2 linked regions of the Arabidopsis thaliana genome follow. The protein of the gene in region 2 interacts with the protein of the main gene of each other region in a pairwise test. Each region holds a gene or a part of one and is shown on either strand. Other genes may lie near its edges.

Region 1 (4,258 bases), on a different chromosome or scaffold from region 2:
ATTGACGGTGGATGTGATTTTCCTACTGATGTGTTGGAGATTGATAATGTTGAGCTTAAGACTTGTAGTTATCAAATGAGTTAGCAAAGTTGTAGTCTTTTTCTTTGACCTAATTTCATATTTACGAAAATTTCTCTGCAGGGATTATCTGTGATTTTGGTTAACCAATCTGTGAGAAGAAGTATAAGTTATCGATAGAAAGTGAACAAATCCATGTGAGATTGGGAGATGAAACAGAGAAGCTGAGACAATGATTACTTGTTCATAAAGAAACTGAATCAGACCAGACTCTTTAGAAGTTTTCTCTTGGATTGTTCTATATGCCTCTCTTTCTCATGTCATGGAGGAAAATGGAAATGTTGAACCTTTTCCTGCAACAGAGTTGATCAAATCTCATTTTAATGGGTCTCTAAAGACTGTGTTGTGTCCAAAGGCAGCAACAGAAAGAAGAAACACGTACAATCTATGATGCAAACACAGATCAATGCTAAGCCAACACTCTAAGCTCTGGTTTTTCTGCTAACGAAAACAATGAAATCAACCAAAATAAAAAAGAGTTAATGTTGCACTTACTTCAGCTACGCACAGAAGTTGGAAGACCGCCTATTGGCAACAAAACCATTTCAATGTCGTCTAACCTTCGACTGCCTCTATTATCGTGACGTGACCTTCCGCTACAAGCAGAAGTTGGATGCGGTGTAACATCTTGTGAGCTTCTGCTGCAAGCAGTAGTATAAGTATTGTCAACACGTTGTGGCCTTTTGCTTTGGATTCAACTCCTCCACTTCGTGTTCATCATTAACCGAGAGGTTGAAGAAACTCATACCTCAAAATAAAGATGAGATTCTCACCTTACCTTGGATGATTCTTGCTATGGAATTACGTTATGATACACATAATGATATAAACATTATCATCACTGATCTCAAGCTTCATGATATGACTAATTCGGAGCAGGAATATTGGTTTGAGAATTATATATATGAACATAAATACAAAATGAAGAAAACTATATTACCATTCATTGAAAATGAGATCAGAAGATACTAGTGTAAGTGTTCATTATTAAGTTATTAATGTACCACTGTACCAGTACGAAGGGTTTTATTGTTCAGTACATAAAGAGATTACAACACTGAGAGAAAATGGGTAAAATTGAAAATCTTATATATCCAAAGTCATATTGTACAATCGAAAAGAAGATCATATAGGGTCATGAGTTCAATTTATTTGTTTCAAAATAGTTCCAAATGGATTTAATGTATACATATAGTATTAGAGGCATTGTCTAAAGATAAAGAAAAAATGAGATTTAATCATATATGTATGGTCCATGAGTTAACTCCCTAATCATTGAATCAAATAAACCGTCACGAATGATTTCACGTCCTTTAAAGGTTACATCAGACAAGTTGCCAATTTTCCTGAAGATTTCATCTAACCCATGTTCCAGTTTCTCGACTTCTTCTTTGCATTCCTCAATAGATTCCTTAAAGGACTCTTGAACAAGATCATCACCTTCTTGAATTGTAAGATACATCTTCTTCATTTTGGCAGCAACAGATTCTAACTCTTGGAGTACCATTGTTCCATCAGTGGAAATATTAACTCTTGTTTTGACGTTTACGATAGTCTGCAAATCCAAGAAATCTTTTTTCCACAATGATTGCTTCCAGACATATATAGGCAAAATATCTTTGTCGGAATTCGACAAAACTATCACAAAGACACTGCAGATATAAGCCGTAAGAACATTAGCCCCATAAAACGCCTTCATAAGAACCTTTGCTTCTTTTATACAATTCTTGACTTTATGAAAGTTTAATGATTCAACATATCTCCCAAGAACTTCGCGGCATTTCGATATTTCCGCGGTGATATTTTCCCTCCAACTATCAAGTGCGGAACAAATCTCAGTGCATAGATCCTCAGATTTCATTTCTAATTTATGCCTAAGGAACTTTAAGCAAACAATGCCATGGTTCATGTGACGAAGCAAGGACATAAAAGCGTTACACAGATCGAGCAATTTTGTATTTATGTTCATGTAATTCTCAAACCAATATCCATGCTCCGAATCAGTCATATAATGAAGCTTGAGATCAGTGATGAGAATGTTTATATCATTATGTGTATCATAAAGTAATTCCATAGCTAGAATCATCCAAGGTAAGGTGAGAATCTCATCTGTATTTTGAGGTATGAGTTTCTTCAATCTCTCGGTTAATGATGACTCAAAGTTGTTCAATAATAAATTTTTCTTTGGAAACAACATCCTGAAAAATTTCTTTGGCCGGAAGAAACATTGCGCTGTAATCCCTTGTTTTGAGATCATCTTGAAAAGATTCTGAGAAATAAAAAAAAGAAGTCATCAGAATTTCGATTTGTTTGATAAACTGTCGTTTATATGAACATTGATGTCCAAGAAAATTCGAAAGCAAAATCACAGTTCAATAATGAACGAGAACTATACCTTCCGAAGTCAAGAAATCACAACAAAATGTATCGATGTAGGTAGACGAGAAATGTACCACAAGTTTTTTTTTTTTATATAGGTATTACTGTATTATTGAGAGAGGACATCGTAATAAATATATAAGTATCCCGTGATGTGATTGATATAAATTAGGGAAGACATAATTTTGGCAAATCTTCTTCTGCCTACAGTAGTTATTTGATCAATAATCACATCTGGATTTATTCATTAATATATGGATATTTTGGGACAAAATCATTAATCTAAAGTTAATAAATATTATTTATATGACATATAAAGATAATTAAAAATTTGGCCTAAAAATATAATTCAAATTTACATTTTTAAAATTTTCTAGCAATAAGAGATACTTTCTTTTTAAAACAAAGATAATATTTTTTTATTTGATAAATGGTACAAATTTAAGTTAACACAACATAAGAAAAAGAAGCAAATCATAATATTTATATTTATATTCTAATTTGGCCTAATAAAAGAGTATCTTTATATTTATGTGATTGACAAATGACAATCTTTATATCTAGTAAAACAAAAATCAGAGGAAAAAAAAAACTAATCAGATCTTTCTGATTAGGTTTTGACATGTTTTTAAAATTTATCATTTGTAATTAACTAAAATTAAAACAATTTAAATTTTGGCATTTACACATGATCAATCCAAAGATATCAGAAGTCCAAAGTAATATTTCAATTTTGTAAATTTTGATTGAAAATAAGCAACAAAAAAAAACGAGCAAAACATATGCAACATTTAAACTTCATCCTTGTTTGGAATTTTTTTATATTTGATAGTTAGATAGTTTCTCTAGTTTCAATTTGAACCTGTTTATTGAATCATGTAATATATTTGTTATATTGAAATATACACAATCTATTTAATTTATACAAATTATTTTGTTATATTGATATATACGCAATCTATTTGAGTATAATCATAACAAATTTTAAGCTCGAAGCAATGGTGAATGAGGAGACATCAACTTTGGTGACCTAACATGTTCCTCGTACCTCATCGAAGATAAACTCAGCTTGAGATTCTTTTGAAAACTCTTACGTTTCTTGTTCTCCCTTTTGTTGTTGCAAATGCAGTTACAGTTCTTGTTCTTGTTGGCTCTGTCTCCAACCACAAAGTCTTTGATTCGTTCAAGTGCAATTTGGAGTGTGTCTTCGTCCATATTAGCAAAGCAGACTCGGAACCAACCAGGCTCAGAGCAGTGAAACGACGAGCCAGGAGAGACATTAATCTTGACCTTATTGATAATAACTCGCCAAAGCGCCATTTCGGAATCAAATGTCTGATCCTTAAGCATATGCCTCAAATCCATCAAAACGAATAAACCCGCGTTGCTTCTCAAGCAAGAAATCCCCATCTCTTCAAGCCCTTCCGTGAACATATGGTGTCTCTTCGCTACTCTTTTCGAAACCTCAACAAGAAAGTTATCGACAAAACTCTGATCAGACAACATAGCAGCTAGAAAACTTTGTGTCTGCGACGAGACCAATCCAAAACTCGACATCCTCCTTGCGCAGGACACAACAACATCGTTGTAAGAGTAAACCACTCCAACCCGGAAACCGGGAAGACCCATGTCCTTTGAAAGACTGTAGACGATATGAATCAGATCACGGTTAACATAATACATCTCTTGGATGATCTCTGCAACACTGATGAATCCCGGTTCCGCAAAAACCGTTGCTGCGTATATTTCGTCGCATACTAAGTGAATTTGCTTGTCGTTGATGAAGCTGACAAGGCTTTCA
Region 2 (4,878 bases):
CTTTGGCAGTGGACATTCTCCTCACCCGTCTCTTTTGTTTGACGGTTTTGAGGAGGATACAGAATGCGTCACCACAGAGTGAGAATGTTGTTAGATACACCGGGGAGACTGTGGAAGGTAAGATCCTAATTTTCTAATGTTGCTTCAAACTGTGCGCCACAAAACATCTCAAGTCTACCAAAGAATTTCTATCTTGAAAAGGTAGAAATTCTTTGTTAGACTCGAAATCAAAATATATAAAGTTACCACATAAAATGAAGCAACATTTTAAAATTTAGATCTTTTTCCTTTGGATACGGTTACGATTAAGTCTACATGAAACCCGGTGTCATCTGTCTGTTTTTATTTTATTTTGCTTTAGTTTGAGACATAGATTTGAGTATTTGTGTGTTACGTAATATGCATGTGATATTAGGGTTCTTGGTTTGGTAGGGGATTTTTGCTACTAAATAAGTAACCTTAAGAAAAAAAGGAGGTTTAATTATGCTCACTAACAAAAACTTCTCTTTGTCCGAGGGATGTATTTGTCGGAGAGCATTTTGTGGCTCGAGTAAACCCCTATTTATCTTAGTGATTAGTAGTAAGTATGATTTCAATCTTAATTAGGGTTTTCTTCTTAATAAAGATGGTTTCTCTCTTTAAAATTTTGTGAAGCACGTGAATTTTCTGTTTCTCTCATGTATTTGTATTAGAAGAGAAAATTGGTGTGCTTCACTTCATTATTGTACGATAATCCTCAATTAAAGACTCTTCCTATTATATTGTCTCTCTTTTCATTACATATAATAGCTTTCGATCTTCTTGTTGTTACAAGGATTCACGCTTTTGTGTTTTGCATGAATAAACGTACTACTCAAACGTATTAAACTTGCGTGTGGGATTAACTTTTTCGATCGACACGTCAATCTGAATGATTTTGGTTTATATTGATGTGAGAATATCGTCCAAATATACCATATATATATTTCAATATGTGTGACAACACAAATCTAAAAATTGTAAAGAGTACTCTTACCATTGGGAAAGTGTTGCATCTTCACTGCCCAATCTGAAGCAAAATCTTTGGGACTTGGACAAAACGACACTCTTGCCAACAAGCTTCTTCGCTTGAACAACAATAACTACATGACAAAACTCTTGATGGTATATATGTATATTCAATGGTAAACTTGTACCAAAGGGATCTTGAATTCTTTTGGTAAGAATGGAATGGCCCTGGGACTGTTTTCCAGGTCTCGATACAATCTATACTCTGCTTCATAGTCATGAAGCTTCAGCTCTGCTTTCTGATTAGTATGGTAATGGTGCTTGGTTGAATTCAACTTCCCAAACCCGAAGACACTAACTTTCTCACAAATCCCCACTGCAAGCATCACAGCCTGCATACCCGACGAATAGTGAAACAACGAGCCTTCATGATCTTTACTCCAATCGACAAACCCTTTCGCTTTCTTCTCTTCCAAGAACTTCTTCACCGAGTAATACTTCACGATTCTAGCACACATGACATCGAACCTCGGATCCGTGATAAGCAGAGGAGCTCGATGAGATGGTTTACACAAAGTGTAATCCAAAACATGAATCGGTTGGCAAATGTACATCACAATAGGCACTGTTTCACCATAAGGATGACAATAGCAACTCTCCCTTCTCCCACATTGATGCAAAATGTTACTATTTATGAAAGATATATTTGTTTTCGATCCAACCTTCTTCTCAAACCTCTCTGTTTTCGCATTGTTCAACCGAATCACAATCTCATGCTTATCAATGAGATCTCCGTATTGACTATTTAGCAATGTACCACTATTCCCAACCACTGCACAAGATAAGTATCTTTCACTCGAAATCGAAACAACACCATTGTGAACATCAATCGGATTCTTAACTAATCTGATCAAATCTAACATGATATTAGGTTCATAAGCTCTTCTACGAGCCCAAAGCCGTAAATTTCTTTTGAACTCTGACCAGTAACGATAAGCCTGAGAAGAACGAAGCGTTACCGGAAACTTGGAGGAGGAAGCAATGTCTCTACTCACACGGCGTTGTTGCTCGCTTGGTCTTATTGACATGGAGCTGAAATGTCGACGGTGGCTTCTCCGAGTGTGGTCGTAATCGGAAATCAAATCGACTTCCTGTTTGAAGTTAGGTTCTCCGGGATCAATGGCGGCGAACTCGAGCAATGTCTCGTTGAATACAATATCTTCAGTCATGAGACCGGAGGAACCAAGCTCAGCGATGGCGGAAGCGAAGGAGAAGCTGCTCCGACGAATCGCCACTCTGCAGATGAGTGTAGCGGCGAAGAAGGCGAAGAGAAGAGCACTGAAGAGAGGTCTAACGGATCGTTTCATCGACGCCGCCGTGATAGATGAGAAAGAAAGAAAGTCGGAAGCTTTTAAACCCCCAATAATTGACGGCGCGGGTCGGATTTTGAAGTCGGATCCATTAACGGGTCTAATGGTAAAGGAGAGAACTTTGAGAAATCTGTATTCAAAATCTTCACAGGAGCTTTAGAAAACTCATGATTCTAAATTAGCAAGGAAGTTAAAACATAAAAAAATGTAAAATTGAAGTCAAAAAGAAGGAGACGACATTGACATTGTTGGTTTCTTGGTTAGGGAAAGAAAGTTTTCAAATGAAGTTAAAGGAAGGTGGTGAGTGAGAGAGATATGGGGAGGTCCTTAAATGGAGGAGATCTGAAGAAAGACGAAAGATCCAATTCAATAAACTAATCATTCTTTACTTCTCTCTCTCTCTTTCTTTTTCTGGAGGTGCAAGCCATGATCTTAATTGCGCTATAGAAAGAAAGATTAAAGAAGAAAGAGTGGGTTCATAAATCATATACAAAGAGGTTATTTTGGGAAACCATTATCTGGTTCGGGTATTACTCTCTCTAGCCGTACGTAGAGAGACTTGTCAATTAGGTTCTATGTCTGCGTCTTTTGCCTAACCCTATTGGAGTCGTTGGACACACAAAATTTAAGCCCATTAAATGAACCTTTTAAACCCATTTTTGGTCCGGTATTAAAACCAGCGAGTATTCTCCTTGTCATTCATCAAAACAGTTAGAAACTCAGACGCCTGGACGTCTTTGTGTTCTACACACAAACACTCTGTTGTTTCTATTTTCAAACGTCAAAAAAAAATCAAAATTTTCCTTTCTCTCTGTTAGCCTCACCGACTTCAAAACTCTCTGCTTTCCCTTAAATTTCTGATCATGGATCAACCACGCTTCTCCTAGGGTTTCTTTAATCATCTGATTTTTTTCGATAAATTATTCAATTTTATGATTGAAGGAATTTATTTCTATAAACCCTAAAAAAAATATGTACAGTAATTTCAAAGAACAAGCGATCGAGTACGTTAGACAAGCGGTAAAGAGGACAATGCTGGTAACTACAACAAAGCTTTTCCTTTGTACATGAACGCGCTTGAATACTTCAAAATCTATCTCAAATATGAGAAGAACCCTAGGATCAGAGATGCCATCACCGACAAGTTCTACGAGTATCTCCGTCGTGCTGAGGAAATTCGTGCGGTATTAGTTGAAGTTGGATCGGGGAAAGGATCGAATGGCGACGCAGCGGTTGCTACGAAGCCTAAGACTAAGCCCAAAGACGGAGGAGATGGAGAAGAATCAAAGCTTCGAGCTGGGTTAAACTCTGCTATTATAAGGGAAAAGCCTAACGTTAAGTGGACAGTTGTTGCTGGGCTTGAAAGTGCCAAACAAGCTTTAAAGGAAGCTGTGATTTTGCCTGTGAATTTTCCACAGTTCTTCACCGGTAAATATTTGAGAGCTTGAAAAAGGTTGTAAACCTATGCACAAATCAATTAACCTATAAACGATGTCTTTCTCTATTGTTTTGTTAATAGCTAGGGCCATATATGATCCAAGAGATGTATTCTTCTAACAGTCTAAACTTCTGGCGCTTTGCTATATCCATGAATATCTCCATCCTCTTGCTGAACTCTGACCCACTCTCCTTGCATCTAAAGGAACCAGAACACTCACACTGCTCTGTCAAATGAGCCGCTTTCACCTGATTGCACCTAATGCACACTACATCCTGCATATGGTACATTCTTTCTCTCTGTCTCACCATCTCTAGAAGGCTACTCTCCATCTGCTCTCTGTCATATATCTTCCCACATTGTGTATCCGCACATGACCATTCTTTCTCTGTTAACAGTGCTGGGTCTCTGCATATATCTAGGTCTCTGTAGGCATCACAGTTGCTGCAACAAGAAAAACAGTACAATCAAAACTCAGTGTATACATTTCCAGCTGTCTTACTGCTTACTACTGCAAAAAAGTCAAGTATTTATTGTCTAGGATTTAGGGGTCTAAGTTTTCTTTTCTTTAGTGTTGCAAGTTTGATATTGCTGTGTAGATTTGATGTGATGATCACCACAAGGGTGAACCAGGATGTCTCTAAAGGAGGGGATTCGCAGGGATTTATGTTTGTGGCCAAAAGACAACTCGATTTCGGAAAACAATTTCTCTATTACTAGACGTAGCCAATCACAAGAATGCTTATTTAAATCACGAGCATTTGTTTTGGTCAAATAATACCTGCAAGCTACATTAGGTAAGATGAAGGATGGCCCAGGATCAAGAAATTCGGCTTCAGCAGCACACTCTTTTACTTTAATGTACTTCAACAGACTCTTTCTCATTACCTATAGAAAAGAGATTAAATCAGCAAGATTGTAGGTCTAGAGGACAAAAATTGAGAAGACTATCGTTAAAACCCATTCAAAAAAAAATCCAGCTCTATTGGTAAACATGGTTTCAAGAACCACATTTCCAGAGATAAGATTGGATTTGTGAATGAAATCAGTTATAAAGAGGGTTTTTAACTGTAAAGATAAACA

What was found.
Region 1: the proteins of AT1G08280 (region 2) and AT3G61500 interact in a protein complementation assay, tested with the Arabidopsis thaliana proteins (one large-scale study listed by BioGRID).

The regions. Positions count from the first base shown.
Region 1 is NC_003074.8:22,760,054-22,764,311, forward strand, and holds AT3G61500 (BPS1-like protein), read right to left. Parts: upstream 2,336-4,258; coding exon 1,811-2,335; intron 1,731-1,810; coding exon 1,628-1,730; intron 1,522-1,627; coding exon 1,344-1,521; intron 720-1,343; coding exon 575-719; downstream 1-574. Other genes in the region: AT3G61490 (Pectin lyase-like superfamily protein), read left to right, coding at 1-84; ACS1 (ACC synthase 1), read right to left, coding at 3,442-4,258.
Region 2 is NC_003070.9:2,605,884-2,610,761, reverse strand, and holds AT1G08280 (Glycosyltransferase family 29 (sialyltransferase) family protein), read right to left. Parts: upstream 2,886-4,878; 5' UTR 2,355-2,885; coding exon 1,158-2,354; 3' UTR 791-1,157; downstream 1-790. Other genes in the region: WIP3 (WIP domain protein 3), read left to right, coding at 1-82; AT1G08270 (vacuolar protein sorting-associated protein), read left to right, coding at 3,425-3,785, 3,877-3,914; TIL1 (DNA polymerase epsilon catalytic subunit), read right to left, coding at 3,870-4,239, 4,577-4,683. UniProt on the Arabidopsis thaliana protein: Galactosyltransferase involved in the biosynthesis of type II arabinogalactan. Possesses galactosyltransferase (GalT) activity in vitro, transferring galactose from UDP-galactose to a mixture of various oligosaccharides derived from arabinogalactan proteins.